Macaca mulatta: one gene and its partners. The protein of the gene in region 1 interacts with the protein of each later gene in a biochemical or structural test. Links are inferred from orthologs where the notes say so. Each region holds a gene or a part of one and is shown on either strand. Other genes may lie near its edges.

The links.
Region 2: the proteins of HSP90AA1 (region 1) and PPP5C form a complex in vitro, tested with the Homo sapiens proteins (4 studies listed by BioGRID, with this or other methods). The link is inferred for Macaca mulatta from reciprocal best matches to the Homo sapiens genes HSP90AA1 and PPP5C.
Region 3: the proteins of HSP90AA1 (region 1) and FKBP4 form a complex in vitro, tested with the Homo sapiens proteins (4 studies listed by BioGRID and IntAct). The link is inferred for Macaca mulatta from reciprocal best matches to the Homo sapiens genes HSP90AA1 and FKBP4.
Region 4: the proteins of HSP90AA1 (region 1) and USP19 form a complex in vitro, tested with the Homo sapiens proteins (3 studies listed by BioGRID). The link is inferred for Macaca mulatta from reciprocal best matches to the Homo sapiens genes HSP90AA1 and USP19.
Region 5: the proteins of HSP90AA1 (region 1) and HIF1A form a complex in vitro, tested with the Homo sapiens proteins (4 studies listed by BioGRID and IntAct, with this or other methods). The link is inferred for Macaca mulatta from reciprocal best matches to the Homo sapiens genes HSP90AA1 and HIF1A.
Region 6: the proteins of HSP90AA1 (region 1) and SUGT1 form a complex in vitro, tested with the Homo sapiens proteins (4 studies listed by BioGRID, with this or other methods). The link is inferred for Macaca mulatta from reciprocal best matches to the Homo sapiens genes HSP90AA1 and SUGT1.
Region 7: the proteins of HSP90AA1 (region 1) and ST13 form a complex in vitro, tested with the Homo sapiens proteins (2 studies listed by BioGRID). The link is inferred for Macaca mulatta from reciprocal best matches to the Homo sapiens genes HSP90AA1 and ST13.

The regions. Positions count from the first base shown.
Region 1 is NC_133412.1:175,437,587-175,442,396, reverse strand, and holds the start of HSP90AA1 (heat shock protein HSP 90-alpha), read left to right. Parts: upstream 1-1,888; 5' UTR 1,889-1,947; intron 1,948-2,545; coding exon 2,546-2,707; intron 2,708-2,796; coding exon 2,797-3,163; intron 3,164-3,483; coding exon 3,484-3,617; intron 3,618-3,911; coding exon 3,912-4,232; intron 4,233-4,347; coding exon 4,348-4,513; intron 4,514-4,810. UniProt on the Homo sapiens protein: Molecular chaperone that promotes the maturation, structural maintenance and proper regulation of specific target proteins involved for instance in cell cycle control and signal transduction.
Region 2 is NC_133424.1:58,844,438-58,849,263, forward strand, and holds the start of PPP5C (serine/threonine-protein phosphatase 5), read left to right. Parts: upstream 1-1,659; 5' UTR 1,660-1,706; coding exon 1,707-1,827; intron 1,828-4,826. UniProt on the Homo sapiens protein: Serine/threonine-protein phosphatase that dephosphorylates a myriad of proteins involved in different signaling pathways including the kinases CSNK1E, ASK1/MAP3K5, PRKDC and RAF1, the nuclear receptors NR3C1, PPARG, ESR1 and ESR2, SMAD proteins and TAU/MAPT.
Region 3 is NC_133416.1:3,698,995-3,702,956, forward strand, and holds the end of FKBP4 (peptidyl-prolyl cis-trans isomerase FKBP4), read left to right. Parts: intron 1-131; coding exon 132-371; intron 372-2,167; coding exon 2,168-2,275; 3' UTR 2,276-2,943; downstream 2,944-3,962. UniProt on the Homo sapiens protein: Immunophilin protein with PPIase and co-chaperone activities. Component of steroid receptors heterocomplexes through interaction with heat-shock protein 90 (HSP90).
Region 4 is NC_133407.1:112,551,063-112,555,179, reverse strand, and holds part of USP19 (ubiquitin carboxyl-terminal hydrolase 19), read left to right. Parts: coding exon 1-94; intron 95-257; coding exon 258-386; intron 387-472; coding exon 473-606; intron 607-682; coding exon 683-985; intron 986-1,100; coding exon 1,101-1,323; intron 1,324-1,435; coding exon 1,436-1,592; intron 1,593-1,691; coding exon 1,692-1,763; intron 1,764-1,881; coding exon 1,882-1,997; intron 1,998-2,099; coding exon 2,100-2,320; intron 2,321-2,404; coding exon 2,405-2,600; intron 2,601-2,682; coding exon 2,683-2,816; intron 2,817-2,925; coding exon 2,926-3,084; intron 3,085-3,169; coding exon 3,170-3,280; intron 3,281-3,728; coding exon 3,729-3,839; intron 3,840-3,919; coding exon 3,920-4,021; intron 4,022-4,117. UniProt on the Homo sapiens protein: Deubiquitinating enzyme that regulates the degradation of various proteins by removing ubiquitin moieties, thereby preventing their proteasomal degradation. Stabilizes RNF123, which promotes CDKN1B degradation and contributes to cell proliferation.
Region 5 is NC_133412.1:134,833,210-134,837,326, reverse strand, and holds part of HIF1A (hypoxia-inducible factor 1-alpha), read right to left. Parts: intron 695-4,117; coding exon 582-694; intron 1-581.
Region 6 is NC_133422.1:31,923,616-31,927,732, forward strand, and holds part of SUGT1 (protein SGT1 homolog), read left to right. Parts: intron 1-78; coding exon 79-149; intron 150-2,071; coding exon 2,072-2,165; intron 2,166-3,236; coding exon 3,237-3,292; intron 3,293-3,693; coding exon 3,694-3,710; intron 3,711-4,117. UniProt on the Homo sapiens protein: May play a role in ubiquitination and subsequent proteasomal degradation of target proteins.
Region 7 is NC_133415.1:10,709,927-10,714,155, forward strand, and holds the end of ST13 (hsc70-interacting protein), read left to right. Parts: intron 1-1,027; coding exon 1,028-1,161; intron 1,162-1,585; coding exon 1,586-1,714; 3' UTR 1,715-3,528; downstream 3,529-4,229. UniProt on the Homo sapiens protein: One HIP oligomer binds the ATPase domains of at least two HSC70 molecules dependent on activation of the HSC70 ATPase by HSP40. Stabilizes the ADP state of HSC70 that has a high affinity for substrate protein.

The DNA of each region.
Region 1 (4,810 bases):
GGGCAGGTTCACTGGAGAAACGGGGAAAAATGAAGGTCCCAAAAACAAAAGACAGACTGTCAGAGCTAGGGCCCGGGATGGCTCTTCTATAAGAAATCTCAAACCCCATTGGCAATGGCAGAAACTGCGGTAGGAAAAGTTCCAAGTGAGGAGAGTGGGGACAGTGGCTGGTGGTGACAGGAAGGAAACAGGCGGAGGAGGCACTCGCCAGGGAAGACCTTGCGCCCCTTCAGCGACCTGCTCACCGCCACGCCTGCTTCCGGATTCCTCCCCGCCGGTCCCGGCTGCAGTGTAGGGAAGGCCTGGGCCGGGGGCGCCCCCCAAGGCTGCGGAACAGCTATCACGGGAGCCGGCACACACCCAGTAACCACCGCTGGGGCCCGCGCCACGTGGCTGCTAGTTTCCATCCACCCCGCTTTGTAATGCTGGGCAAGACGCTTTATGTTGATTTCACACACTCTTAAAGGGTCCCAGGCCGCAGTCTGAAAACCCCTGCTCCTGAGTAAGTTGGTTTCCCTAGAGACCAGGAAGCGGAGGTAGTTCCGTCGTTTGTTTACACGGTAAGGAGCTTCCAGATTATTCCGAGGACCTGGCTATGAGTTTAGGCAGGAGGAGGCCCAATCATGGGAGGCGCCAGAGAGGAAGAGGACATGGACGAGGCATGGGAGCCAAGTCTAAGGAACCCCAACACCTCTAAGGTTCTCATAGCTGGCCTTGACCAAAATATCTGAAAATTCTCATGTAGAAACTGGTTCTTCCAGCCTGAGCAACATGGTGAAACCCCAACTATACAAATAAATACAAAAACTAGCCGGGTGTGGTGTCCGCGCTTGTGGTCCTCCGCCCGCGCTCGTCCCAGTTACTCGGAAAGCTGAAGTAGGAGGATCACCTGAGCCCGGGAGGTCGAAGCTGCGGTGAGCCAAGATTGTGCCACAGCACCCCAGCCTGGGCGACAGAGGGACAGCCTGTCCAAAAACAAAAAAACACCAAACCTGTCTTTTAGGGAAGGTTAATCACCAAAATGTCAAGTGTTAGATACTTAATTTGGAGACCTCAAATCGATCGGCAAAACGATGGGCTTTTAAAAAGCATGCCGGGTGTAGCTGGGTAAGCATGAATTTATTCACCAAGGGCCCGATTCCCAAGCTAAGGGACCCTGAAGTGTGAAGGACATGGCTTCCGGGGAACCCAAAGGTAGGGAGCGCTCCTGAGCCAGCAGTGGGTCTGGAGACTCCCCGAGCGCGCAGGCCGCGGGACGGCGTCCCCTGCGCGCAGCAGCTAGAAGCCAACAGCCCAAAGGCCCCCAGGGAGCAGAGCCCCGCGATCCCGGCGCCGCCTGCGGCTGGATTTTTTGGCAGCGGGCGCGCCGTCCGTGAGGATGACGGCTCCGGTAGTCTCCCGGGCGTGCGAGACCCGGGGCGCTCCCCGTCCACGCACGGCCCTCCCTCCAGGCGCGCCTCCCGCCCCAGCCCCGCATTCTGCGCAGCCCGGGTGACCAAACTACACCTCACTTCAAAGGCCCCCACGCCCGGGCGTGCCCTCCGCCCGCGCTCGGCAGGTGGGAGTGCAGGGAGGAGGGCGCGGGCGGCCCCAGAAGGCGCCCGGACCTTCCCGAGAATTCCAGGCCGCGCAGGCGCATTGAGGTCGGCGCGGGGGCGTGCGAGAGGCGCGGGGCGGTGATTGAGGGAAGGTTTCCCGGGCTGGGCCATGAGCAGGGCCTGCGCGCGCCAGCGGGAGGGGCGGGCCACGGCGAGGGCGCAGGCGCAGGCGCGCGGCCGCGGCGGCGGTTGGGGAGGGTTCTTCCGGAAGGTTCGGGAGGCTTCTGGAAAAAGCGCCGCGCGCTGGGCGGGCCCGTCGCTATATAAGGCAGGCGCGGGGGCGGCGCGTCAGTTGCTTCAGCGTCTTGGTGCTGCTGTGCCGTGGAACGTTTGCAGCCTTTTAGCCAAGGTGTGAGGGGCGGTTGTGGGGGCCTGTGGAGGTGGATTGGGGAGTGGGGGCGGTTGGCGCGGAGCGGAGGCTGTGGGGGCCGAACGGGAGCCCTGAACCCGCCAGGGCCGCTCTCCCGGGAGGCCGCGCTGCCTATTCCGGAGGCCGTGGGCCCGCTGCTGTCTCCGCAGCCCGCCTCAGGAATGGGCTGGGCGGCTGCTCCCCGAGTCTCCGCGGCAGCCCCGGAGCTGGCGCCGCACGCGAGCAGAGCGGCCCTTTGGCTGGGGGCCCCCCGGGCGGCCCAGCTGGGGCGCAGGCGGAGGAGGCCGCCCTGGCGGAGCCGCGGCCCGCGCGGGAGGGCACACGGGGTGTCGGTTGGGGACCGCGGCGCGGGACTGGGCCGGGCCTGCAGTGGCCTCCCGGAAGCGCGCACACGCTCGTGGTAGTTACCGCGCTCCGAAATGAGGTCATCCTTTGTCAGCCGCCCTTCTATTTTCGGTTTACTTAAACTTCGCAAATCTGCAATCCGGCTTTAAAAATATTGGGAGGACGCGATGGAATCTCGTGTTGCCCCTGTAGACGCCCTGCAGGGTTTTAAACCGGCGCGGTGTCGTTCCAGATGCCTGAGGAAACGCAGACCCAGGACCAACCGATGGAGGAGGAGGAGGTTGAGACGTTCGCCTTTCAGGCAGAAATTGCCCAGTTGATGTCATTGATTATCAATACTTTTTATTCGAACAAAGAGATCTTTCTAAGAGAGCTAATTTCAAATTCATCAGATGTAAGTCGTTTATTAACCCAGAATAGGATTTTGGTTTCAATATGAACTTCTTGGGGGCTGTATGCTTAATTAATATTTTGTGTTAATAGGCATTGGACAAAATCCGCTATGAGAGCTTGACGGATCCCAGTAAATTAGACTCTGGGAAAGAGCTGCATATTAACCTGATACCAAATAAACAAGATCGAACCCTCACTATTGTGGATACTGGAATTGGGATGACCAAGGCTGACTTGATCAATAACCTTGGTACTATCGCCAAGTCTGGGACCAAAGCGTTCATGGAAGCTTTGCAGGCTGGTGCAGATATCTCCATGATTGGCCAGTTCGGTGTTGGTTTTTATTCTGCTTATTTGGTTGCTGAGAAAGTAACTGTGATCACCAAACATAACGATGATGAGCAGTACGCCTGGGAGTCCTCAGCAGGGGGATCATTTACAGTGAGGACAGACACAGGTAGGTACCTGAACACTCACTGGTTAAGTCAGTGGCGGAATGGTGGGGTGTTGCAACCCTTGGACCCCTGGGGATGCGGCGAAGTTCACAGAAAGTGTGTTTACCCAAGGATCAGGAACAAGCTAGAGCTCTGAATTAGTGTGTAATGGCATGACTTGGTGATTACTTCTTTTGGGCAAGGCACTTAGATCTGCTGTGGGAGCCTTTGCATCTGTAGTAAGGGCAAACCTCGCTTCATAGACACGTTATAAGGGTTAAGCATGGCGTTGAGCACTAAATTGAATGTATTATTGAGTCAATTTTCCTTATTTCTCTTGCAGGTGAACCTATGGGTCGTGGAACAAAGGTTATCCTACACCTGAAAGAAGACCAAACTGAGTACTTGGAGGAACGAAGAATAAAGGAGATTGTGAAGAAACATTCTCAGTTTATTGGATATCCCATTACTCTTTTTGTAAGTTTCTACATAATTGCAGAGTGAATTACTGTCTGTAGGTGACTGGGGTGACTGTACTACATCCTTAGTTCCTAGGTCTGTTGAACTAGTTTGAAGCCTGGGGAACCTAAGCTCTACTAACTGTGAAGGTTCCTCGGGTTATTAAGTAGATATATCAAATATTGATGAGAAGCTGCCTGGCTGCTTCTCATCCTCGGTAATTTAGGCTTTGGCCTTAGGTTGAAAGTAGTGGGGCAGCGCTATGACTTAGTTCTAGAGTGCAGCAGTGATGCGATTTCATGTCTTTTGAAGGTGGAGAAGGAACGTGATAAAGAAGTCAGCGATGATGAGGCTGAAGAAAAAGAAGACAAAGAAGAAGAAAAAGAAAAAGAAGAGAAAGAGTCTGAAGACAAACCTGAAATTGAAGATGTTGGTTCTGATGAGGAAGAAGAAGAAAAGAAGGATGGTGACAAGAAGAAGAAAAAGAAGATTAAGGAGAAGTACATCGATCAAGAAGAACTCAACAAAACAAAGCCCATCTGGACCAGAAATCCCGACGATATTACTAATGAGGAGTATGGAGAATTCTACAAGAGCTTGACCAATGACTGGGAAGATCACTTGGCAGTGAAGGTGAGTGAGGGACTGATGGATGCTTCAAGCTTGTCTTTAGATTATCATCCCACCACCCCAAATATCTGCTATAATGCATTGTTCATTGATACTTAGTGTGTTTGTTCTATTACAGCATTTTTCAGTTGAAGGGCAGTTGGAATTCAGAGCCCTTCTATTTGTCCCACGACGTGCTCCTTTTGACCTGTTTGAAAACAGAAAGAAAAAGAACAACATCAAATTGTATGTACGCAGAGTTTTCATCATGGATAACTGTGAGGAGCTAATCCCTGAATATCTGAGTAAGTATAGATAGGAAAAATAATCACTGTCACTGATTAAAGAAATACTTCTGGCTGGGCATGGTGGCTCACACCTGTAATCCTAGCAGTTTGGGAACCCGGGGTGTGCGGATCACTTGAGGTCAGGAGTTCAAGACAAGCCTGGCCAACATGGTGAAACTCCATCTCTCCTGAAATTAGAAAAATTTGCCCGATGTGGTGGCAGGCTGAGGCATGAAAATAGCTTGAAAACCCCCCTGGGAGGCAGAGGTTGCTGTGAGCGGAGATTGCACCACTGCCTTCCAGCCTGGGCAACAG
Region 2 (4,826 bases), on another chromosome or scaffold:
AAAATTGAAATCCATTATGGCAGCCTCCTTTTCCTCCAGCCCCCAAACAAACAATACGAACAAAGAACACAAAAGAAACATTTACTAAGCCACCAAGATGGGCTCTGGCACCTACAGAGGCAGTAGAGTGGCAATGAAGGACACAGGAAGTAGATAGGATTCCTGATCCTGGCTCTGTCACCTTCTTATGTTGTTGTGACCTTGGTCAAACACCTCTGCAAGTCTGTGTCTTTATCTGTAAAATGGGGATGATACTAATATCTGCCCTTTAGGGTGATTGTTGGTTGTGCTGGGGGCAGTGGGAGAGATGGGGATGGACTAACAAGAGGTTTGGGAGTGGAATAGATAGGTTTGGGAGTGTGCTTCCAGGAGGGTAACCAGAGCCTTACAGGACTTAGTGCTACCTGAGGGCTTAGAAAGGACAGACTGGAAGGGTGTACGGCAGATGGGGGTTGGGGAAGGGGTGGAATCTGGAGATTAGACTATTCAGCCTGAGGTTAGACTATTCAGGGTCTCCTAATCAGGAGTTTGGGTTTTCTCTTAAGGGTGCTGGGGCCATGGAAGGCTGGGAGTGAGGGTGTGCCATGGTTTTATTATGTCTTAGAAAGATCCCTCGGCCAGGTGCAGTGGCTCACTCTTGTAATCCCAGCACTTTGAGAGGCCGAGGTGGGCAGATAGCTTGAAGTCGGCAGTGAGGCCAGCCTGGCCAACGTGGTGAAACCCCGTTTCTATTAAAATACAAAAATTAACCGGGCGTGGTGGCAGGCACCTGTAATCCCAGCTACTCGGGAGGCTGAGGCAGGAGAATCGCTTGAACCCCGGGAGGCAGAGGTTGCAGTGCGCCTAGATTGCGCCACTGCACTCCAGCCTGGTCGACAGAGGGAGACTCCCTCTCAAAACAAAACAAAATAAAACCAAACCAAACCTCTAGCTGCCATGTGAAGGGTAAATGAGGGAGGCAGAGTGCATGCAATCAACGCTGTGATCTCAGACAAGAGAATCTGTAAAAAGGCAAACAGGAGAGTTTATTTGAAGATTCAGGATTTGGGAAGCTGAACACAGGAAGAAAGGGGATGGTGCAACACACTTCTGAGCCTTGCTCAGGACTTGAAATCCAGAGTGCCTTCATTTAAAAACTCAGAAACACCCTCAGGGTTGGACCTTTTTTGGCTTGAGAAGCCACCCATTTTTCAGAGATGGGTAACTGAGGCCCTAGAGAGGAAGGGAAGATTTGTTCAAGGTCACACAGGTAGCTGACAATAGGGCTTGACGCCCGGGTCCGGCTCCGCGTAGGGCATGGCGCTGCCTTGCAAAGCAGCCACACCCGCCAGCGACATTCACAACCCACCCCCCAACCCTAGAGGAGAGCAGGGAAATCCCACTTTAAGAACCGAGAAACTTTTTACAGCCTTGGAACACGGTAACTTTGGGAGCAGAGGCCACACCAGCTCTGTTTCCCCGCGCGCCCCTTCTCTCATTCCCTATTGGCTCTCTCTACCAGGGGTACCGTCCGGGGACCCTCTGGTCACCTTGTCCTCCGCGCGCTCTATGGCGAGAGGGACCTGCGCAGGCGCGTGAAGGGCCCCTTCAGGGCCCGCGCTTTACGACACTTGTGCGGCAGCGGCGGCGGCCACCCGGCGCTCCTTCGCGACGGTTCGGCCGGGTGCCGCTGGCGGCCGTTGCCAGGGTAGGGGTCGCTTTGCGGCATGGCGATGGCGGAGGGCGAGCGGACTGAGTGTGCTGAGCCCCCCCGGGACGAGCACCCGGCTGATGGCGCTCTGAAGCGGGCAGAGGAGCTCAAGACTCAGGCCAATGACTACTTCAAAGGTGCGCCCGCCTAGCAGGGAGGGTGGACAGCGGCTCAGGCCGAGGGTGCCGGGCCCGCGCGGAACCATGGCAACGCGGAGCTGCAGTCTGGGCGCGGGGCAGGCACTACCAAGTGACTGGGCGTGGGGAGGCCCAGGATGGCGCTACCAAGGGGCGACATAGGGGGCTTCGGAGAGTGATACCTAGGAGTGGCGTGCGGAGCGGGTGCTACTCAGTGGAGAGACTGAGGAGGGCGTCACCAATTGTGGGGCGAGAGGGGGACTGGAATGAGGGCGCTACCAAACGTGAGGCCTGTAGAGGGCGCTACCAGGCAGTGACATGTGGTGGGGGAGTGAGTGATGGCGCTACCAAATGGGGAGTCCTGGGGTGGGTGCCGCCAAGTGGGGAGTAGAGGAGGGACAGTCCCAATAGAGGCGGCAATCGTGGGGGTGGGGAATGGATCATTAGATGGGGGGAACAAGGAAGTAGAAGATTTGGGCTGACCGAGGAAAAGGAATGTGATGGTGGGGGCCTTGGGAGTAGGGGTGGGAATCCCCAAGAATAGTATCACTTAGAATATTGAGAAAGAGTCAAGTGTGGGGCACCCATTCATTCATTAATTCAACAAATATTTATTGAGTACCTGTTATGTGCCAAGGACTGTGCTTAACTCTAGGGATATAGCAGTGAAGGAGAGAGATGTGGTCCTGTCCTTAGCTTGTAATTTTGCAGGTGAACCAGACGTGAAAAAAAAAAAAAACATGTAAATAAGTAAAATACTTAAATTGTGATGAGTGCTTTGAAAGCAAACCAGCAGCGTGATGAAGTAGAGAATAAGGGTTGGAGGCTACTTTAGATAGGGTAGTGGGGGAAGGCCTTACTGAGCAGGAAGCATTTAAGCTGAAACTCACAGAGGAAGAACTGGAGAGGAGTGTTCCAGGGAGTTAAGGCAGCCTGTGCAAAGGCCCTGGGGTGGGGAATGAAAGGACACTGGCATGGCTGGGGCTTTTGCTAGTTAGCGGGAGACCAATAGCAAGATGAGATTAGGACAGAGGGCAGATCATGCAGGGTCTCCCCGAGTCATTGCAAAGAGCAGTTTGGAATTTTTTTTTTTTTTGAGACGGAGTTTCACTCGTGTTGCCCAGGCCAGAGTGCAATGGCGCAATCTCAGCTCACTGCAACGTCCGCCTCCCTGGTTCAAGTGATTCTCCTGCGTCAGCCTCCCGAGTGGCTGGGATTATAGATGCGCATGCACACCACCATGCCCACCTAATTTTTGTATTTTTAGTGGAGACGGGGTTTCGCTGTGTTGGCCAGGCTGGTCTCGAAACCCTGACCACAGGTGATCCGCCCACCTCAGCCTCTCAAAGTGGTGGGATTACAGGCGTGAGCCACCACTCCTGGCCCTACAGGAGGACACACTGAGTAAGTAAATGGGACAGTCTGGACTGGAGAAGAATTTGGGTGTGATCAAACTATGGTTGGGAATGGATGAGATAATCTAGTAAGAGGGTCTAGAGAGGGGACTTAGGACAGATCCCGAGTGGAAGAGGGGGAGGCTAAGGAGGACCGCTTAGTGAGGTGGAAAGGAAGCCAGGAAAGGTGTCGGGAAGGCGGAGAGAAGAGAGCGCTTATAGAACAAGGAGCTGGTGCCCTGAGTCCGATGCTGCCAAGGCGAGCACTGGCCATTGGCTTTGGCTCCGTGGATGCTGATGGTGATGTTGACAGGAGCAGTTGTTGGGGAATGACGGGGCTGGTGCAGCCAAGAGGGCGCTGAAGAGTGAATGGGAAGGGAGGGAGTGGAGAGAGCAAATGTTAAGTGTTAGGAGTATTGGTTCTGAAGAAGAGTGGAGAAATGGGGGAGGGTGGTAAGAAGTGAACGTGCGCAGGAGTTCAAGAGCAGCCTGGCCAACATGGTGAACGTCGTCTCTACTAAAAAATTAGTCGGGTGTGGTGGCACACACCTGTAGTCCCAGCTACTGGGGAGGCTGAGGCAGGAGAATCGCTTGAACCTGGGAGGCAGAGGCTGCAGTGAACCAAGATCACGTCACTGCATTCTAGACCGGGCAACAGACAGAAAAAAAAAAAAAAAACAACATGCAGTGTCAGGGGAAGATGGATTTTTTGTAAGGATGGAAGAGAGTAGAGTCCAGTAGAGATGGAGAATTGATTCTGCATGTGAGAGGGGAGACTTGCAGCAGCAAAACCCTGGAGAAGGTGGAGGTGGAAAGGATCTGGACCCCTGGAAAAGAGTTGGCCTCCAGCAGGAGCAGAAGCAAAGTATGGAGAAGTTTGATCTGGTGGGAGCCATGAGAGGGAGGTAGGACCAGTGAGAGATGAGGCCAGAGGTAGAACCTTGGAAGTCAGATTGGGGAATGTGGGTGTCATCCTGAGGGTGGTCGATGCCATGGGATGTTTCAAGAGTGGGGTGCCGTGGTTCAGTTACCATTCAGAAAAGATCCCTGGCTGCCATGCAGAGACTGGACTCCAGGGTAAGACAGGAAGGAGGCTAGATTAGTGGACAGGTGAGGGGTGGTGATCGCCAACCAGGCTGGAGGGACAGAAATAGATTCAAGAAGTGTTTCAGAGAGGAAGTGAGAGTGGCTGCCTGGAGAGAGGGTAGACGGTACTCCAGGCAGAAAAAAAAAAAAAAAAACAGGTGGCAAAGGCCCAAAGGTGAGCGGAACCTGGCATGGAGGCCGTGAGTAGGAGGCTGGAGGAGGTTACGATGAAGCTGCGGGGAGCAGATTGCACAGGGCTGTGGGAAGGAGGCAGGGCTTTCTGGGGTGGGGTGGTGGGGGGATGGGGCTCTGGGGAGCCCTGGGAGGTTCTGAGTAGGGAAAGGACACGGTCAGGTTTGTGCTTTAGGAACACCCCTCTGGTGGGGCAGGAGAAGAGACTGTGAGGCCAGGTAGAGGCTGAGCCAGGAACCTGGGTAGGAGAGGCCAGGCCAGGGCTGGGTGGGGCTGGAGGGTTAGAAGGGAGTGGCTGGATCTGAGAAATGTTCAGGAGGCTGACTT
Region 3 (3,962 bases), on another chromosome or scaffold:
GGCCTTGTTCTTCCTGGGGTGGAGCCAGCCATTTGCAGTCCTGCTGAGGGGTACTTTTGGAACCCAGTCTTGGCCAGATGAGCTACAAGCCCTGAGCTCCCACGATGTTGCTTCCTCCCTGCATCCTTTAGGCCCTAGAATTGGACAGCAACAATGAGAAGGGCCTCTTCCGCCGGGGAGAGGCCCACCTGGCCGTGAATGACTTTGAACTGGCACGGGCTGATTTCCAGAAGGTCCTGCAGCTCTACCCCAACAACAAAGCCGCCAAGACCCAGCTGGCTGTGTGCCAGCAGCGGATCAGAAGGCAGCTTGCCCGGGAGAAGAAGCTCTATGCCAATATGTTTGAGAGGCTGGCTGAGGAGGAGAACAAGGTGAGGATTGGGGTGGGGAACAGCGGGAATAGCATCCCTCCACGGAACCTGGCTACTGTGGGCTCTTGGTGCCTTTGGTTGTCTGTGCCGATCCCAGAAACCAAAAGTTGCCCTTTTCCCTGGAGCATTAAGGAGCATGTGTTCTCTGCTATTGGGGCCGTGTTCTGTGATCAGTGCTAGGATCCTACCCACAAGCCCCAGAAGTTGGGTTGGTTGCTCTGAGTGTAATTCCCGATTTATGTTTTCTTGTGGGCCAGGCACGGTGGCTCACACCTGCAATCCCAGCACTTTGCAGGGCCAAAGTGGGAGGATCACTTGAACCCAGTAGGTAGAGACCTCAGTGACTTATGATGGCACCACTGCACTCCATCCTGAGTGACAAAATGAGACCCTGTCTAAAAAAAAAAAAAAAAAGCTAGATGCTTTTTATGTGTGATTAAATAAATGATACATTTACGTAGTTAAATTCAAACTGTACCAGAGTATATACAGTCAAAAGTCTGCCTCCCCCACCAGAAGCAGCTGACCCTTCAGGTTCTTGTATGGTTCCAGTGTATTGCATCAGTGCACAGGCAGACATTCATGTTGCTTTCTCCCTTTCCCCTAACAAGAGGCAACGTGCTCTATCATTTGGCACATACTGTGCTTTTTTCACATGATAGTAGCTGGAGGCTTATTTTACATCAGTATTTAAAGAACTTTTACATTCTTCTTTAGGCTTACATAGTATTCCATTGTGTGGATGTGGCTTATCTTAGTCAGTCAGTCCCCTTTTAGTCTTCCAGTGTTGTTGGTGTTTTTTTTCTGAGACAGTTTCACTCTGTCACCCAGGCTGGAGTGCAGTGGCACGATCTTGGCTCACTGCAAACTCTGCCTCCTGGGTTCAAGCGATTCTCCTGCCTCAGCCTCCCGAGTAGCTGAGATTACAGGTTCCCGCCACCACACCCGGCTAATTTTTGTATTTTTAGTAGAGACGAGGTCTCACCATGTTGACCAGTCTGTCTCGAACTCCTGACTTGAGTGATCTGCCTGCCCCTGCCTCCCAAAGTGGTGGGATGACAGGTGTGAGCCACCATGCCTGGCCAGTCTTAAACAGTGTTCTAAACCAGCACTGTCCAGTAGAAATACAGTATCAACCACATGTAATTCAAAATTTTCTGGTAACCATGTTAAAAAGGTGAAAAACAAATGGAATTAAATTTTAGTTGCATTTGTGTATTTTTCAAACCATCTTCAAAATCCAATATATATTTTGCACTAAAAACACATGAGTTTGAACTAGCCACTTACAGTAGTGGCTACCATACGGGACAGTACTGCTTAGAACAGCATTGCAGTGAGTAACCTTGTGAGTTCATAATTTGTACATATATAAGTGTTTAGTTTTGTTTGAAACAGTGTCTCTTGCCCTGTCGGCCAGGCTGGAGTGCAGTGGCACAGTCTCAGCTCACTGCAACCACCACCTCCAGGGCTCAAGCAATCCTCGTCTCAACCTCTCGAGTAGCTGGGACTACAGGTGCATGCCACCACGCCCAACTAATTTTTGTAATTTTTGTTGAGCTGAGGTTTCACTGTGTTGCCCAGGCTGGTCTCAAACTCCTGGGCTCAAGCAATCTGCCCACCTCAGCCTCCCAAAGTTCTGGGATTACAGGTGTGAGCCACCAGGCCTGGCCTATACAGATATATTTTTAGGACAGATGTAGGAGAATGGGTGTATCTGTGTAATTCTGCTAGAAATTAAGTGTGTGTTTTTTCACTTGCGATGTCAGCCTCTTTGCTGTTCCTCTTCCTTGCAGGCCAAGGCAGAGGCCTCCTCAGGAGACCACCCCACTGACACAGAGATGAAGGAGGAGCAGAAGAGCAACACGGCAGGGAGCCAGTCTCAGGTGGAGACAGAAGCATAGCCCCTCTCCACCAGCCCTACTCCTGCGGCTGCCTGCCCCCAGTCTCCCCCCTCCACCCTGTTAGTTTTGTAAAAACTGAAGAATTTTGAGTGAATTAGACCTTTATTTTTCTATCTGGTTGGATGGTGGCTTTAGGGGGAAGGGGGAAAGGAGTAGGCTGGGGGATTGAGGTGGGGAATCATTTTAGCTGGTGTCACCCCCTCTTCCCTTCCCCCTTTGCACATGAACATATGTCCATCCATACATATTCATCAGAATGTTAATTTATTTTGCTCCCTCTGTTAGGTCCATTTTCCAAGGGTAGAAGAGGCAAGTGGTAGGGATGGGGTCTGATATGAACCCAGGGTGGAGAGGGAGACTCCTGGGCAGCCGTTTTCCTCATCCTTTCCCTCTCCCAGTCCATTTCCAAACGTGGCCTCCATGTGGGTGCTAGGGACATGGGAAAAACCACTGCTATGCCATTTCTTCTCTGTTCCCTTCCTCACCCCCAACGGTGTGGCTGATGTCTTCTGGTGTGATGGTGACCACCCCTTGCTCCCTGTTCTGGTATTTCCCCTGTCAGTTTCCCCTCTCAGCCAGGTTGTGTCCCGAAATCCCCTCAGCCTCTTTTCCGCACGTTGCTGAAGGTCCAGGCTTGCCTCAAGTTCCGTGCTTGAGCAATAAAGTGGAAACAATAAAACCTGGGTGTCAGACAACCCTTTTTGTTCAGCCTTGGAGGGGTGGGTATGGGTGGGTACATAATGGGTAGTGGCAAAATTAAGGGGTCACCCACTTAGTCCCAGTGGAGCTTAAATAAGTGCAGCATCTCAAGTAGACACCGTAGTTGGGCAGGAAGCAGCCCCACGATGCAGGGCTTCCTGAGCACTGCACAGGCTGCAGCTGGGACTTGAGTCTATGCACTCCCTCCCTCCAGCAACCTGGCAGTTTTTAGTGCCTCTGGTTTTCTTCCCTGACGCTTAGGAAGAGGAAAGTATCAAGATCTAGAAGACTGGGACACCATGCATATGCATTTTGAAGTTGGAATTGGTCTTCTGCCTACCTCTGATCTGGCAGAGGTATCTGTGCATTTTGGTTTCTTAACAAGGTAAAACTCCTGGTGTCACTAACCTCTGTCAGATAACTTTTACATGATTAAGGTCGAGAGTAAAGAGGGGTCATGCCCAGCTTCCTTCCCAGCCTTAACAGGAAACAGCTTGTGCTTTTTTTCTAACTATGCTTTGACCCTTAAGTCCTATGGCATGATGGGGCCCTGGGAGAAGCCAGGCAGCACAAGCCAGTCATGCTGAGCTGCCTCCAGATGATCCTGGCTCCAGGTTAGAGCCCGTGTCTGCCCTCATCCCTCTCCTACTGTGGGCTCTCCAGTCCTTTCCCAACAGTGATGTGGTTGTCTGCTTAGCCACATGCCTGTATAGTTCCTTCCAGAAGAAATTTATAATGGTGGAAGATTGATTTCTGTGAAAATTTTCACCAAGTCATACAACATGGCTGATGCTGGAGCCAGGATGAAAATTGGGGTGTGCAAGTCTCCCGGTGTGAGTATCCCTTGAGCCCAAGACACCAAGGATGCAGAGAGCTGTGACTGTGCCACTGCATGCCAGGCTGGGCAAGAAAGTGAGACCCTCTTTTTAAAAAAAGTCCCAGTGTAGGCCAGGCGCGGTGGCTCAAGCCTGTAATCCCAGCACTTTGA
Region 4 (4,117 bases), on another chromosome or scaffold:
GCTGGGATCACAGGCTCATGCCACCATTCCCGGCTGTTCTTTCCTTCATTGTCAGGGTCAGCATCCACTCCTCGGGAGGAGCAGACCAAAGAGGGTCAGTTATGAATGAGCTTTTTGGGTGCTAGGGAGGGGGAGGGATCACTTACAATTTGGCTCCCATCTGAGGCAGTTTCATTAGGGCTGGGTCTCTGTTACCTGCTTATCACCATCAGGAGCTTGTGAAGACCCTCATGATCTCTTGGCTACTCCCCCTCCAGAGTTGTTGCTCGATTGGAGGCAGAGTGCAGAAGAGGTGATTGTCAAGCTTCATGTGGGAGTAGGTCCCTTGCAGCTGGAGGATGTAGATGCTGCTTTCACAGATACGGACTGTGTGGTGCGGTTTGCAGGTGTGTCCATCTGCCCTGAGCACAATAGTATGTTTGAATCTTTTGATATCTCCTATCCTACCTCATGGACCCTGCTCTGTCTCCAGGTGGTCAGCAGTGGGGTGGTGTCTTCTATGCTGAGATAAAAAGCTCTTGTGCTAAAGTGCAAACCCGCAAGGGCAGTCTCCTGCACCTGACACTGCCCAAAAAGGTGCCTATGCTCACGTGGCCCTCCCTCCTGGTGAGTTCTAGTAGTACAGGGTTGGGTAGGGATAGCCAGTGTAGTCGACAGGGCCTGACTGCTGTATCTTTGGCAGAAGAAACCTCTAGGGACCCAGGAGCTGGTGCCGGGGCTGCAGTGCCAGGAGAATGGGCAGGAACTGTCTCCCACTGCCCTGGAGCCAGGCCCTGAGCCCCACCGGGCTAAGCAGGAGGCCCGGAACCAGAAGCGGGCCCAGGGCCGTGGTGAGGTAGGCTCAGGGGCTGGCCCCGGGGCCCAGGCAGGGCCCAGCGCCAAGAGGGCTGTGCATCTCTGCAGAGGGCCAGAGGGGGAGGGGTCCAGGGATGACCCTGGACCCCGGGGTGATGCCCCACCCTTCGTGGCTGACCCGGCCACTCAGGTGAGAGTTGGGCACCTGTATGGGTGTTAGGAAATGGGGGGAAAGAGTGTGCACTGGAGTGGGAGCCACCTGGCAGAGCCCGGGCTGATTCTGCCCACAATCTTGCCATTGATAGGTTGAGGCTGATGAACAGCTTTGCATACCACCGGTGAACCCCCAAACCTGCCTCCTGGGCTCAGAGGAGAATTTAGCCCTTTTGGCAGGAGAGAAAGCAGTGTCTCCTGGGAATGACCCAGTCTCTCCAGCCATGGTCCGGAGCAGAAACTCTGGGAAAGATGACCGTGCCAAGGAGGAGATGGCAGTGGCAGCAGATGCTGCAACCTTGGTGGATGGTAAAGGTGGGGGTGGGCAGGCCTAGGTTGGGTTGCAAAGCTTGTAGGTGGTTAGGGAGTAGAGTAGCAATAGGCTGGAACCTGTCCTGGTTGGAGCTGAGCCATGGTCTCAATATAGAGCCCGAGTCGATGGTGAACCTGGCATTTGTCAAGAATGACTCGTATGAGAAGGGCCCGGATTCAGTGGTGGTGCACGTGTACGTGAAGGAGATCTGCAGGGACACCTCGAGAGTACTTTTTCGTGAGCAGGACTTCACACTCATCTTCCAGACCAGGTGGGTGGGCAGATGATGGGGCAAACAATGCCTCAGGTGGGACAGTATGTCTCATGCTCCTCCTCTTGTCCTTCCTCCTATCCTGCTGTGCCTCTGCAGGGATGGAAACTTCCTGAGGCTGCACCCAGGCTGTGGGCCCCACACCATCTTCCGTTGGCAGGTGAAGCTCAGGTGGGTGGTGCCCGGCCCCACCACTGTGCCTGTCCTACTCCCCCAGGCTCCATCTCCCTAGCTTATCTATCCTGATGCCCATTCCTCCTAAGTCCCTGAGTTCAGCCTTTTCCCACAGGAATCTGATTGAGCCAGAGCAGTGCACCTTCTGTTTCACGGCTTCTCGCATCGACATTTGCCTTCGTAAGAGGCAGAGTCAGCGCTGGGGGGGCCTGGAGGCCCCGGCTACACGAGGTCTGCACACGAGCTCCCTTCATTGCCCAGTTCCACGTGATCAGGACCCAAACCCCTGTCACGTGCTGCTAACCACCAGCCCTCTCATTCCCCCTTTTTAAGGTGCAGTGGGTGGTGCAAAGGTTGCCGTGCCGACAGGTCCAACCCCTCTGGATTCAACCCCACCAGGAGGTGCTCCCCACCCCCTGACAGGCCAGGAGGAGGCCCGGGCTATGGAGAAGGATAAATCCAAGGCACGATCTGAGGACACAGGGCTAGAGAGTGTGGCAACCCGCACACCTATGGAGCATGTAACCCCAAAGCCAGAGACACACCTGGCGTCGGTGAGAATTCTGGGATGGGAAGGACGAAGAATGGAGGTTGGAGAGTCTTGGAGCTGTTCTCTTATGTCCTCTTTGCTCCCCCAGCCCAAGCCTACATGTATGGTGCCTCCCATGCCCCACAGCCCAGTTAGTGGAGATAGCGTGGAGGAGGAGGAAGAGGAAGAGAAGAAAGTGTGTCTGCCAGGCTTCACTGGCCTTGTCAATTTAGGCAACACCTGCTTCATGAACAGCGTCATTCAGTCTCTGTCCAACACTCGGGAACTCCGGGACTTCTTCCATGGTGAGGGCAGGGCCTGGAGCCTGGGGAATGGGCAGAGAGGGTGCCTTTGTCCCTCACACCTTTGCTCCGCTACTATTCCTAGACCGCTCCTTTGAGGCTGAGATCAACTACAACAACCCACTAGGGACTGGTGGGCGTCTGGCCATTGGCTTTGCTGTGCTGCTTCGGGCGCTGTGGAAGGGCACCCACCATGCCTTCCAGCCTTCCAAGTTGAAGGTAATCTGTGACCACTGTCACCCTTGGCTGCAGGGGGCGGGGAGGGCCAGCTAACCGGTGTGCAGTGGGTGCTAGGGCTTTGTGTTCACACTTTGGCTCCTGTATCCAGGCCATTGTGGCGAGTAAGGCCAGCCAGTTCACAGGCTATGCGCAGCATGATGCCCAGGAGTTCATGGCTTTCCTGCTGGATGGGCTGCACGAGGACCTGAATCGCATTCAGAACAAGCCCTACACAGAGACCGTGGACTCAGATGGGCGGCCCGATGAGGTCAGGGTTAGGGACAGAGGGTGGGCATGTCTCATGAGCATCCCAGCCCCCAGGCCTCTTTGGTTCTCACCACTCTGCCTCTCAGGTGGTAGCCGAGGAAGCATGGCAGCGGCACAAGATGAGGAATGACTCTTTCATCGTGGACCTATTTCAGGGGCAGTACAAGTCGAAGCTGGTGTGCCCTGTGTGTGCCAAGGTGTGATGGGCTCCCCTGGAAAGAGGCCCTCTATTCTGATCATGTTAGGTTCAGAGGCATGTGCATCTTAAGGTTTGGGCGAAGAAGTTGGCAGGGAGGCCTTAGGATTCTATATGGGCTGAAGAGCCCACTTAGGTAGGCTTCCTGACTGAGGGAAAAGTGATGTTAGAGCTCAGAGGTGTTGTGGCAGGGTTGTGGGCACATGGGGTGCAAGTGTGAGGCAAATTCGTAAAGTGGCTAAGCTGAGTAGGGCTTTGAGTGCCAGAAAGGAGGATTGTTATCTCCTGGTGGTCCTCCTGCCCCATCTAGTGTCCTGAAGCCTGAGAGTTTGCTGGTTGGCTGTGGAGGCCTTGAGAGCCATCAGAAGCCCTGGAATGGGCTCTTTGGGCATGAACATTTTGTCTCCCACTCTGTGTGCAGCTACCCAGTGCCACCTCTACATCCACAGGTCTCCATCACTTTTGACCCGTTTCTTTATCTGCCGGTGCCCTTGCCACAAAAGCAAAAGGTTCTCCCTGTCTTTTATTTCGCCCGAGAGCCCCACAGCAAGCCCATTAAGGTGAGGAGTAAGCCCCTACCCTCTGGGCTGTTCTAGAGAACGTGGCCCACCTCCCTCACTGACTGCCCTTTTTGCCACAGTTCCTAGTGAGCGTCAGCAAGGAGAACTCCACTGCCAGTGAAGTATTGGACTCCCTCTCTCAAAGCGTTCGTGTGAAGCCTGAGAATCTGCGTTTGGCGGAGGTACCTTTGTCTTTCTTTGGGCTATTATATATATGGATATGTGTGTGTACTCACCATAGACACGTGTGTATAGTCATTGGCATCTACAGACATACA
Region 5 (4,117 bases), about 41 Mb from region 1:
AAAAAAGCAGAGATAAGTTGTTGAGTGTGACATGGCCAGTAAGCTTTGATAAAATTTACTGTCACTAGTGGATTAACCAGGTTTTTGAAAATCAATGAACGTTTTTCCACCACCCATGACCTACTTCCTGCCCAGGGCCTATACATTACTGTTTAAAAAATTCCCCTCATATAAAGTCTAGGCTGCTTTTTCATTCATCTCATCATCCGGGCTGGTTTGATAGTTATTTCTTGCACTGATGACTATGTCTCAACATTGAACAAAGATACAAAACCATGATTAATAGAAAATTAAGCCCTACCAGGATCCAAATATTGTGTGGTTGGCAAAGCCAACTGATTAGGTAAGCCTAGTATACCAGTGCCACAATTCACCTAATTTAAGTTTGTGCCTCAAATTGGCAAATTACTACACGGTTCTGGATTTTAGGAATCATATGCAAATCAGTTGAAGGTATAAATGTTACATAACCAAACACCAAGGAACTGTAAACCTTCCCTCACAATTCTAAAGTTATCTTAATACTGCAATGTCTATGTATAAATAAAGTGTATCATCAATCACAAATAATTTTCACTTACCTTCCATGTTGCAGACTTTATGTTCATAGTTCTTCCTCGGCTAGTTAGGGTACACTTCATTCTGAGAAAAAAGCTTCGCTGTGTGTTTTGTTCTTTACCCTTTTTCACAGGGCCTAATGAAAGCATGAAATAAAGTTTTAAAGCAACTAAATATACAAATTTGTTACAATGAAAGTAGCAAAGTGCCCATCACCTAGATCAACTGAATACCTGTTCAATTAAAAGTCTCAGCATGAACACAGTAATTCATTCCCCTTTTACTCACTCCAGCACACCCAAGAGATCTGACACATACTACTCAGTAGCTCTGATTCCCTGAGTTGACTGAAAGATAATCCGTATTTGGGATAACAGTTAATCATTCAAGCAAGTAAGTTTAGTCAAACTACAGAGAAATATAAAAATGGTATGAGTTTGCTCTTTAACTGTGCTATTGGTACACAAGAATCCCTAAAGAAAGAACTTCAGCAAACTCTTCCTATTCTTTCCTGAATGTGTTAGCTCAATTTCTAATAAGCACTCTATGTATTTACAGAACCTTTAAAATAGCAACTTTCTTTTTAATAACAAATAACATTTTTACATATCTTATTTTTTCCCCTTAATTTATCTAGTAAAGCAGGCAGAAAATTATTTCTACTTTGTTACTATAAGAAAACAACAACAGATCAAATGACTTATCAAAAGTTACAGAAATAGGGCATGGTGGCTCATGCCCGTAATCCCAGCACTTTGGGAGGCTGAGGCAGGAGGATCACTTGAGGTCAGGAGTTCGAGACCAGCCTGGCCAACATGGTGAAACCCTGTCTCTACTAAAAATACAAAAATTAGCTGGGTGTGATGGTGGGTGCCTGTAATCCCAGCTACTCGGGAGACTGAGGCAGTTGAATCACTTGAACCCGGGAGGCGGAGGTTGCAATGAGCTGAGACTGTGCCACTGCACTCCAACCTGGGCGAAAGAGTGAGAATCCATCTCAAAAAAAAAAAAAAAAAAAAAAAACTACAGAAATAAAGTAAAGTCAGAATTAAGTAAAGTCTATTCACTCCTATTTCAAACCTTCTATAACTAAAAATGAGATTATATTTAGGTGACTAAGGAAATAGCATCTTGCTGGGCATGGTGGCTCATGCCTCATGCCTGTAATCCCAGCACTTTGGAGGCTGAGGCAGGAAGATCACTTGAGGCCAGAAGTTTGAGACCATGCTGGCCATCATGGTAAAACCCCATCTCTACTAAAAATATAAATATTAGCTAGGTGTGGTGGTGCACGCTTATAATCCCAGCTACTTGGGAGGTTGAGGCGTGAGAATCACTTGAACCCAGGAGGCAGAGGTTGCAGTGAACTGAGATTGTGCCACTGCACTCCAGCCTGGGTGGCAAAGTGAGACACTGTCTAAAAAAAAAAAAAAAAAAAAAAAAAAAAGGAAATAGCCTCTTGATTTCTTATCTTCATTGGTCAATGTACTTCAAAACACATATAAAAATATTTATTATTTAGAACCTGGACTAGAGATTGCAGGCAATACAAAGATGAGTAAGACACACCACCTTTCCTGAAGAAGTTAAAAATGTAGTAGATATAGTAAGGTCAACAAAAACACAATGTAGAGTTGGTACTTGAGACTTATAAAAATGCTTTAAGGGAGGATAGGGAGAGCTTAGAGGAATAACTTCTAGTCAAGGGGAATCAAGAAGTCCTGCTTAGAAAAAGAGACATTAGAATGTCAGTAAGTAGAGATGGGTTAGAAGGTTCCAGGGAGAAGGAAGAGAATGAAAAGCACAGAGGTAGGAAAAATAGGACATGTTTGAAAAACTGCATATAGTAGTTTGTCCACAATGTAAAGTACACATAGAAGAGTAGGAAGGCAAAGTCAGAAGGGAACGTTAGGGCTGTACTACGGAGGCCTGTGGATGTCCACATGGAGTCCTGCCTAAATATTCAACAAGGGGCTTTTAAAAAGCACAATCAGTAACTTAAGGAAAATTAACTTAGCAGCAATATATATGTTAGAATTACGTGACTGTAATGAGAGGGCTGAGCCAGTAGCAGTAGTATGAGTGAAAAGAATGGTGGTAAAAGACAAATGAAGAGGTAGATCTTAATAGACTTGAAAACGGATGGAAATAAGACAGGAGAGAAAATCAAATCTAGAAATTGTAATGCTAGTATATTGGAAGAACACTGTCAAGTAGAAAAGAAATGAGAGTAAGTTTAAATGTAGGCATGGTTAGCTAGAAATACTGGACTCTTAAGGAACAAGATGAATTCTAGCCTATACTCATTTAATAATGGAACTAGGCAAGATGGGCAGTCCTGGTACTGATGCATGCCACTTGTGTTTACTTAGATAAGAAGTGAATTTGCCCTCCCTGGAAGGATTCAAGAGTATATTTTTAAAAGATGCCATGAGAGCAAAGGGTGGGGGTGGGAGGCGAGGGGAAGGGAGGGAGTGTGGGAGGGAGAGAGAGAGAGAGAGAGAATGAGTGTGTCGTGTGTGTACGTAGGTGGTGATGGTTGTGGTAGTGGCAGTAAAGATCCACATGCAAAATCCTTTGGGTATGTTCAGTCCTTCATAATCTAAGCTTGAATTATACTGACCTTTGAAAAGAACCCAAGGCCTTTGAATGGGGACCTGCAGATTAATTTAAAAATCAAGGTAACTGAAAAGTACTAGTGTTTTCCTAATGAGGAAAAAAAACACAACAAACCATTAAAAAAAACCCCTAAATTTTAAACTCTCTAAAAATAAGTCTTATTTTGTAATAATTTATAAATTCTAAAGCATTTTTCTAGAATTTATACGGAAGAATAATAGGACTGTTTGTCCTATTATAAACACACCACTGGCTCTCAGTGTATCACTAAAATATGATGCTTTGCAACAGTCCCTAGTTTCTAAAAGAGAAAAATCTGCATTTTAGTTTCCCAATGGAACATCAATAATTCATAACCACATTAGGAATGATTTCAAAATGTTTGTGTGCTTTAAAAAAGAACATTTGGTTCGAAACATACATTTAAACTATATTAAGACTATCTGATTTAGAATAATGCATTAACATCATTACCAAATCAGAACAAGACTTCCTAATATCCATCCATTTATAGTCTAGCCCCAGGGAAGCACTGAGCAGTCAATATAAACCTCAACTCTGCACATTAGAACTCATATATTAAACTCACTGACAGCCCACTTAGGTCCTTGCTCATCGCATATTTACTCCTCCTTTATACAGAATTCTAAAAAGTACGCATTTGTTTTCCAAATTAACAGTAAAAACACAATATGAAATTTAAAAACAGGAGTCAGGTCCCGCTGACAGCGTGAAAAAAGACAGAATGTGAGAATTCAAGAATATGAAAAGCGCTCCAAAGGACTAACGAGCGTGGACTCTGAAGCCAGTCTACTGAAGTTCAGCCCAAGCTCTGCCATTTACTAACCAAATAATGTTGGGAAAGTTACTTAGTAACTCTGTGCCTCAGTTTCCTGGTAAAACAGAAATTGTCTAACAGTTAACTTCACAGGGTTGTTGT
Region 6 (4,117 bases), on another chromosome or scaffold:
TAAGTTTCTTTATTTAGAAAGAAGGCTATTTTCCAGATTTTTTGTGTGTCTTAATTTGTTTTAAATACATTCATGCAGAATATGTGAATACCATGAAAAAAACTATGCTGCTGCCCTAGAAACTTTTACAGAAGGACAAAAGTTAGATAGTAAGTATTAAAAATTATACTTTAATAAACTTATCTATTTCTGTCTTAAATACCAAAGCTGAATTTTGGTAATGTTAATTTCAGGTTAATTGTAGAAACCCAATACCTGTTTTTCTCATCTTAATTACATTTCATATTGATTGCAGATATGAGATCACTTAAAACTGATTAAATTAGCCTTTTGGCATTTAAATCACAGATGAACTTTACCATTAGAAGTAAAAAACTCTATGGAAACACTTATGCTGTCTCTACTTAGTCTGGCTTTTTTTTTTCTAATGGAGAAGTGAAAGTTTAATTTGCCTTCTTGGTCAGAAGTCTGTTCATTTTACGTTATTCAGATTGCTGAGATGTGAAATCTTAACATTAAAGGTTTTTATGGAGAAGTGAAGTGTATATTTGAATAAATTATGAGAGGGTACAGAAGAAACACAGTTTTGAGAGTATTGTGACTTTTAATGTTACATTTTTGAGGGAAATGTATGAAAAGTATCACAGTGGTAGGGATATCTGGACATACAGAAATTGTGAGAGCCAAGAATTTTTAAATCTGAAAAATACTAAGAGATTGTGAGTAATCTCAGAAAATTGGAAACTACATAATCCTACTTGTACTATCATTTTATCTTTATGTTATGATAGAGTTTTATCACATTTCTCTTAAAGAAGGGGTTCTTAACTGGAAACAATTTTGTTTCCCGGGAAACTCTGCAGTGTCTGAAGAGATTTTTGATGATCATGAATGGTGGAGGGGGATGTACTACTGACATCTAATGAGTGTAAACCAGGGGTGCTACTAAATATCCTATAATGCCCAGGAAAGTTCTACCTAACAAAGAAGTATCTGGTCCAAAATGTCGGTAGTGCTGAAAATAAGAAACTTCACTCTTAGTATTTTATGTTACATTCTTACTCTACTGTTTTGAATGTTTGCTTTTCTGTTGTGTACCTATTCAGAAAAAAGGATTTTAGCACTGACTATGCAAATGGAAGCTACAGATTAAAAAAGGAGAGGTCTGGGTGGTAAGGCTTATTCTCAAACTTGCTTATCTCAGTTTTGGTACGTGAATAATTAGGGCTATTCAGTCAGCAAACAGGGCATCTGCACTCTTAGCAAATTCTAGAGTCAAGTTATGTAGTGCTTTGATACTTAGCAAATTCTAGAGTCAAATTATGTAGTGCCTTGATACATATGTGAAAATCCTGAAGAAACATGAGTCATACCATTCTCTACATTTTCATTTTTCTTTCTTGTTTTAGCGAGCGAGGGTCTCGTTCTGTCGCCCAGGCTGGAGTGCAATGATGCGATCTCGGGTCATTGCACCCTCCACCTCCTGGGCTCAAGTGATTCTCCCACCTCAGCCTCCTGAGTAAGTGGGGCTACAGGCACATGCCACCACACCTGACTTATTTTTGCATTTTATTTTTTTCAGAGATGGGGTTTCGCCACGTTGCCCAGGCTGGTCTTGAACTCCTGGACTCAAGTGTTCTGTCTGCCTTGGCCTCCGAAAGTGCTGGGATTACAGGCACCAGCCACTGTGTCTGGCCCCTGAATTCTTTTCTTAAGATCTTAATATCATGCCATTGACATTTATTTTTTAGTTATTTCAGAGGTGGCCTTCAGAAGAGGACCTGTTTGGTAAAATTGCTATTGAGGATATTTCACTTAAAAATAAATTTGTCTTTAAATCCAGAAGACTTTTTTTGTTGTTTTTTGGGGTTTTTTTGTTTGTTTGTTTGTTTTTTGTTTCTTTTTTTGGAACGCAGTCTCACTCTGTCATCCAGGCCATAGTGCAGTAGTGTGATCTTGGCTCACTGCAACCTCTGCCTCCAGAGTTCAGGTGATTTTCCTGCCTCAGCCTCCTGAGCAGCTGGGACTACAGGCATGCACCACCATGCCTGGCTAATTTTTGTATTTTTAGTAGAGATGGGGTTTCGTCGTGTTGGCCAAGCTGGTCTCAAACTCCTGACCTCAAGTGATCCACCTGCATTGACCTCCCAAAGTGCTGGGGTTACAGCTATGAGCCACCATGCCCGGCCAAAATCTGGGAAAAAGTTAAGTTAAGCTTTTAGGCTTCTATTTTTATCAGACAGGGTAAAGAATTTTTACCTTTTCCCCTCTTTGTGTGATAAATTGGTTGGTTTTAGTTACTGATTATTTAAAATAATAGGTTACTCAAATCTAAGATTTTGATATAATAGTTCTCTGGAATACAGTGTGTGTGAGAGAGTGTATTTAGAATTTTTATTAAGGCTGGTATAGTTGAATTTCTTTTATATATTAGTAAAGTAGAAATTTTTGTTAAGAAATTTCTAACTTAAAATTTTCAAATTAATCTTCCCTGAAGTTAACTTGAATTAATAAGCTTTTCTTTAGAGTACTTTTAATATTTTTAACATATCTTACTATGTACAGTGACTGTTTAAATGTAATCATTGTTCTGTGTCTCCAGAAATGAATAATTTGTTTATGCATTCATTTACACTGTTATCTGTAAATATATAATATATCACCTATAGCCCCTCGACTGCCGTGTAACTTGGAGATATGACAAACTTCACAGAATTTAAGGATACTTAGTGTTGGTAGGAAGGGCATGGTAACAGATAAAGCCACTGAGAGAATAGTGGACTGAATAGGTATCTGCATTGAAGAGCAAGCTGGGGCTGGGAAGGCCTTTTGGACCTCAACTCAGCTCCCAGTTACCAAGCCTCCTCCCCACCCTAACTGATGGCATATTGAGAGTTTGATTTACATCTGATTTTGTTGTGTGTGTGAGGAAACTTCTTTAAGAGCAGCGAGATTGGGAGAAATGTAGATTATTTTTATCTGTGAAATTAATAAGGTTGACTGTAGTTAAAATTTTTTAAAAATCAAAATGTTACATGATGAACAACTAAATGTTAAACTATTGGTATATTCATAACTATAGAAGGGTTGGCAATAAGGTCTGTTAAGACAGATTTTGTTCACTACTGACTCCCCAGTGCCTAGAACAGTGCCTGGGATGTAGTAGGTATTCAGTAAGTATTTGTTGATTAATAGGTTGTGCAGATGAGTGATGTTATAGTCAGTTTTTTCTTTCTAGGTGCAGATGCTAATTTCAGTGTCTGGATTAAAAGGTGTCAAGAAGCTCAGAATGGTATGTGGGTCTCCCTTGGTATTTAGTTTAAAAAGAAATAAACATCTGAATTTTTTTCGGTTTAAACAAATTTGTTTTTACCTTTATAATTTCTTTTAAATAGTATATGTTTCCTTAGATGTGGACTTCCAAAGATACACTGGTTTTTGCATAGCTTCTTATGTTGAATGGGAGATTAGGGTGGATTTGTTTGTGTGGTGTATCAGTAAGAAATTACAAGGAGTCTAAGATGAGTTCAGAATGCAAAATGAAACCACTTTCTTTTGGTTAGTTTTCTTTAGTTGAAAAGTATGTAGAATTTGCTTGCTTAATCAGTATGTTTGTGCTATAGGAATCATATAAATAACTTTGCTTATAAATGCACTGTTACCTGAAAATGTTTCCTTTTTATGTTTTAATAGGCTCAGAATCTGAGGTGGTAAGTCCACAGTTTTCATTCTTCGTGATTTTATTATTTTAAATTTCAAATACCAAATATATTTGAGACAAGACTCAGGATGAGCTGTCTGATAATTAAATATTGAGTAATTTCGTTTAAGTGCTGGTTCCTCTAGGAACTGAAATAAAATCATTTTTTGATGAATATAGAAGTTTCCAGTCATGAAAATTATTGGCCTATTTTAATGAATTTAGTGTGTGGTTAAAGTTGATTTCGTGTGTTTTAGTATGGTCAGGATGATTATTTATCTTTTTGTTGCTAAAACCTTATTGCATTTATTTAGGTTAAACAGTTTGAATCACTTGAAGGGCTTTTTGTGATAGTCTAAGACAAAAGTTAAAGAAAATTGGAAATTGACAGGGTCTTGCCCTGTCATGCTGGCTGGA
Region 7 (4,229 bases), on another chromosome or scaffold:
AAAAACCTAAACTCATATGAATCAATTTTAAATTGAAACAGACAAATATGCAAGAATGGAAAGTTGAAAGATGATCAAAATGACTATAATCTAAGGAACTGTTAGATGACTCTTTGCTTTTAAGGTGAAATTAGTCTTTTTTTTAACAGTGTTATTACTAGAAAACAGTTGCTGAGCACAGTGGCTCACACTGGTAATCCCAGCATTTTGGGAGGTTGAAGCAGGCAGATCACCTGGGGTCAGGAGTTCGAGAGTGGCCCGGCCAACGTGATGAAACCCCGTCTCTACTAAAAATACAAAACTTAGGTGTAGTGGTGCGTGCCTGTAGTCTCATCTACTTGGGAGACTGAGGCAGGAGAATTGCTTAAACCCGGGAGGCAGAGGTTGCAGTCAGCCAAGATGGCACCAGTGCACTGTAGCCTGGGTGACAGAACAGGACTCTGTCTTAAGACAAACAAAAATAAAAAACTGTTATTACTAGAAAAATGCTGATCCAGGAGGTAGCAAAGTGAGATTTACAGCCTTGTTTTTGTTTTTTTTTTTTTTTTGAGACGGAGTCTCGCTCTGTCGCCCGGGCTGGAGTGCAGTGGTCGGATCTCAGCTCACTGCAAGCTCCGCCTCCCGGGTTTACGCCATTCTCCTGCCTCAGCCTCCCGAATAGCTGGGACTACAGGTGCCCGCCACCTCGCCCGGCTAGTTTTTTGTATTTTTTTTAGTAGAGACGGGGTTTCACCGTGTTAGCCAGGATGGTCTCGATCTCCTGACCTCGTGATCCGCCTGCCTCGGCCTCCCAGAGTGCTGGGATTACAGGCTTGAGCCACCGCGCCCGGCCCACAGCCTTGTTTTTTAAGAGATAATTAGAAGCTATAACTTGTGTCTTGTGTCAGTCTGATTAGAATTTTCAGACTCTTCAGACTACTTCGTGCTTAGTGGCACCCTTATTCGTTGAACCTGTGCTTTTTGTGGATGAAGTACTGTGACAGAATATTTGGGAGTATGATTAGTGTCTCTTCATTTTTTATTACAGGTGGCTTTCCTGGGGGAATGCCTGGTAGTTTTCCCGGAGGAATGCCTGGAATGGGAGGGGCCATGCCTGGAATGGCTGGAATGCCTGGACTCAATGAAATTCTTAGTGATCCAGAGGTTCTTGCAGCCATGCAGGTAAGACTTGGAAGAACTTTGGACTTTGTATCATTAAGGCAATTATTTCATAATTCTGTGTGGAGACAAAGGTTACTCTTGTAGCTATTTTTTATTTATCACAGTTATCAAATAGCTAATTATGCAGGAGTGACATTTATGTTCTTTATGCAGAGTGAGTAAATTAAATTTTTAAAACTAGGAAATACTTAGTAATGATTGGCAATTATATCCAGTTGTCCTTTTCTTTGTATCACAATTGTGCTTTTTTCATCATATAGTTCAAATGACATAATTCAGCTTGATTTTGATACTTCAAGCACTTGTCTAAACGCCATTTAACTATGACCAAATTATAGGTCTAAATAAGAGATGGAATTTAGGATAATAAACTTATTGACCCAGTAGGATACTTTTTAAATACTAACAAACCCTTTGTTTTCAGGATCCAGAAGTTATGGTGGCCTTCCAGGATGTGGCTCAGAACCCAGCAAATATGTCAAAATACCAGAGCAACCCAAAGGTTATGAATCTCATCAGTAAATTGTCAGCCAAATTTGGAGGTCAAGCGTAATGCCCTTCTGATAAATAAAGCCCTTGCTGAAGGAAAAGCAACCTAGATCACCTTATGGATGTCGCAATAATACAAACCAGTGTACCTCTGACCTTCTCATCAAGAGAGCTGGGGTGCTTTGAAGATAATCCCTACCCCTCTCCCCCAAATTCAGCTGAAGCATTTTACAGTGGTTTGCCATTAGGGTATTCATTCAGATAATGTTTTCCTACTAGGAATTACAAACTTTAAACACTTTTTAAATATTCAAAATATTTAAAACAAATTTAAAGGGTCTGTTAATTCTTATATTTTTCTTTACTGATCATTTTGGATTTTTTTTCTTTGAATTGGGCAGGGAAGATATGTATGGAAGATTATTGCTCTAATTTGAGTGAAATAAAAGTTACTAGTGCGAGGCAAACATAACTCATTTGAGGATAAAATTTGTGTTAGATATGTGGTTCCTGATGCATTTTGACTTGTCTTTTTAAATGCTTTATCTTTTTCTTTAAAGATTTATTTCAATAAAACTAATTGGGACCACCCGTATTTCAGTAGGACCTGGGTAGGGATTGGAAGTACTTAGCAGGGCAGCAGCAGTCTTGCTGTGTTTTATATAACATGCATCCTTGGGCAGGTTGCCCTTAAATCTTACACTGTGGTGAAGGGATGATTTTTTTTGTAATGCTGCAGTAGAGTTGGAGTTCTCTTCTTGTCCAGTATATCTAATAAGTGTTTCATATTATTTCCACATAAGGGAAATAAGGGAGTACTTTTCTTTTTATATTTTTACGCTTAAAATTCTCTTTCCTAGTCAAAAATTGCCCAACTCTGTGTTTGTTTTCTGCTTGTTAGGTTTTTCTCCCTTACTTTTCTTGGGCTAAAGACAGGCTTTTTCCACCAGCATCATCACTGCTATCATCATTAACAGCATAACTATACAAGCATATTTAATGCTGAGTTTAATTTAATATGTAATACATATGGTAATTGTAGGGTAATACCCACAACAACTGTAGTTTCTTACTTGGCCAAGAGAATGCTTATTTAAGTGTTAGACTTCCGTTCTGGCAAAATCTTGCCATATCAGAAGACATTGGAAAGAGGGATTCCCTTTGGTGTTTGGTCTTCTACTTAGAAAATACTTATTGCAGTTAGAGTTTATCTTGTAGTATTCATCTTTATATTCTGAAGATAATATGGTTTGAATTAAGTTGATATACACAGAGGGGAACCAATTTTTTTGATCCAATGTGAATTATAAATGAGATAATCCACAGTTATTCATTGTGGAGTTGTTGAGACTATGAAAGACTCATTGTCTTTGTATTCAGCTCTTAAATAGTGTAACCATACCCCCACCTCTGCTTGCTTTCTTTCCCTCCCCTCCGATGATAAAGAAAATGATAAATTTTCTGTTGTGCATTCAATTCTTATTTTAAATAAGACTAAGTATAGGCATTGTACCTGACATTGCTACGTTTCTACCAGTGTTTCAATTTAAAGTGCTAGTGTTTAAAAACATTTTCAAGGGATAAGACCTTCTGTATTTTGCTTATTTGAAGAATCAGTGGTAGGAGCAGTGAAGTAAATTCTATGGAGTACATTTCTAAAATCATAAATAAGTTTATTCAGGTTCTAACCCTTTGCTGTACACAAGCAGACAGAAATGCATCTGTTACATAAATGAGAAAAAGCTATTATGCTGATGGAGCATGCTGCTTAAATCCTTTAAAAACACTCACCATATAAACTTGGATTTGAGGTTGTGTGTTCTTTTTCTTAACGTGTAGAGTTCTCCTTTCTCAAAATTGCCAGTGCGTACTTGGCTTCACTGAAGAACAGTTTCTTCTGGATTCCTTATTTGATTTATTTAACCTAATTATATTCTAATATTGCAAATATTACCATAAGTGGGTAAAAGTAAAATTACTCTTCTGAAAATGTGTCCTGTGCTTTTAGATTTTTAAATTCCATAATATACATTCTTAATTTTCAACTCAATATTCTAAACTAGAAATGTTTTCTTGTACTAATGATGCTATCAGAAGGAAGTTTTTTTCTGCTTAAAAATATAGTTATGTTTCTAGCTATGTTAAAAAATACGGTTTCAAACTGGATTTTGGGCAGGTGCGGTGGCTCACGCCTGTAATACCAACACTTTGGGAGGCCGAGGCAGGCAGATCAGGAGTTTGAGACCAGCCTGGCCAACATGGCGAAATCCTGTCTCTACTAAAAAATACAAAAATTGCTGGGTGTGGTGGCTCACTCCTGTAATCCCAGCACTTTGGGAGGCCAAGGTGGGCAGATCACGAGGTCAAGAGATCAAGACCATCCTGGCCAATATGGTGAAACCCTGTCTCTACTAAAAAATACAAAAAAAACTAGCCAGGCGTGGTGGTGGGCGCCTGTAGTCCCAGCTTCTTGGGAGGCTGAGGCAGGAGAAGGGCATGAACCCAGGAAGCAGAGCTTGCAGTGAGCCGAGATTGTGCCACTGCACTCCAGCCTGGGTGACATAGCAAGACTCTGTCTC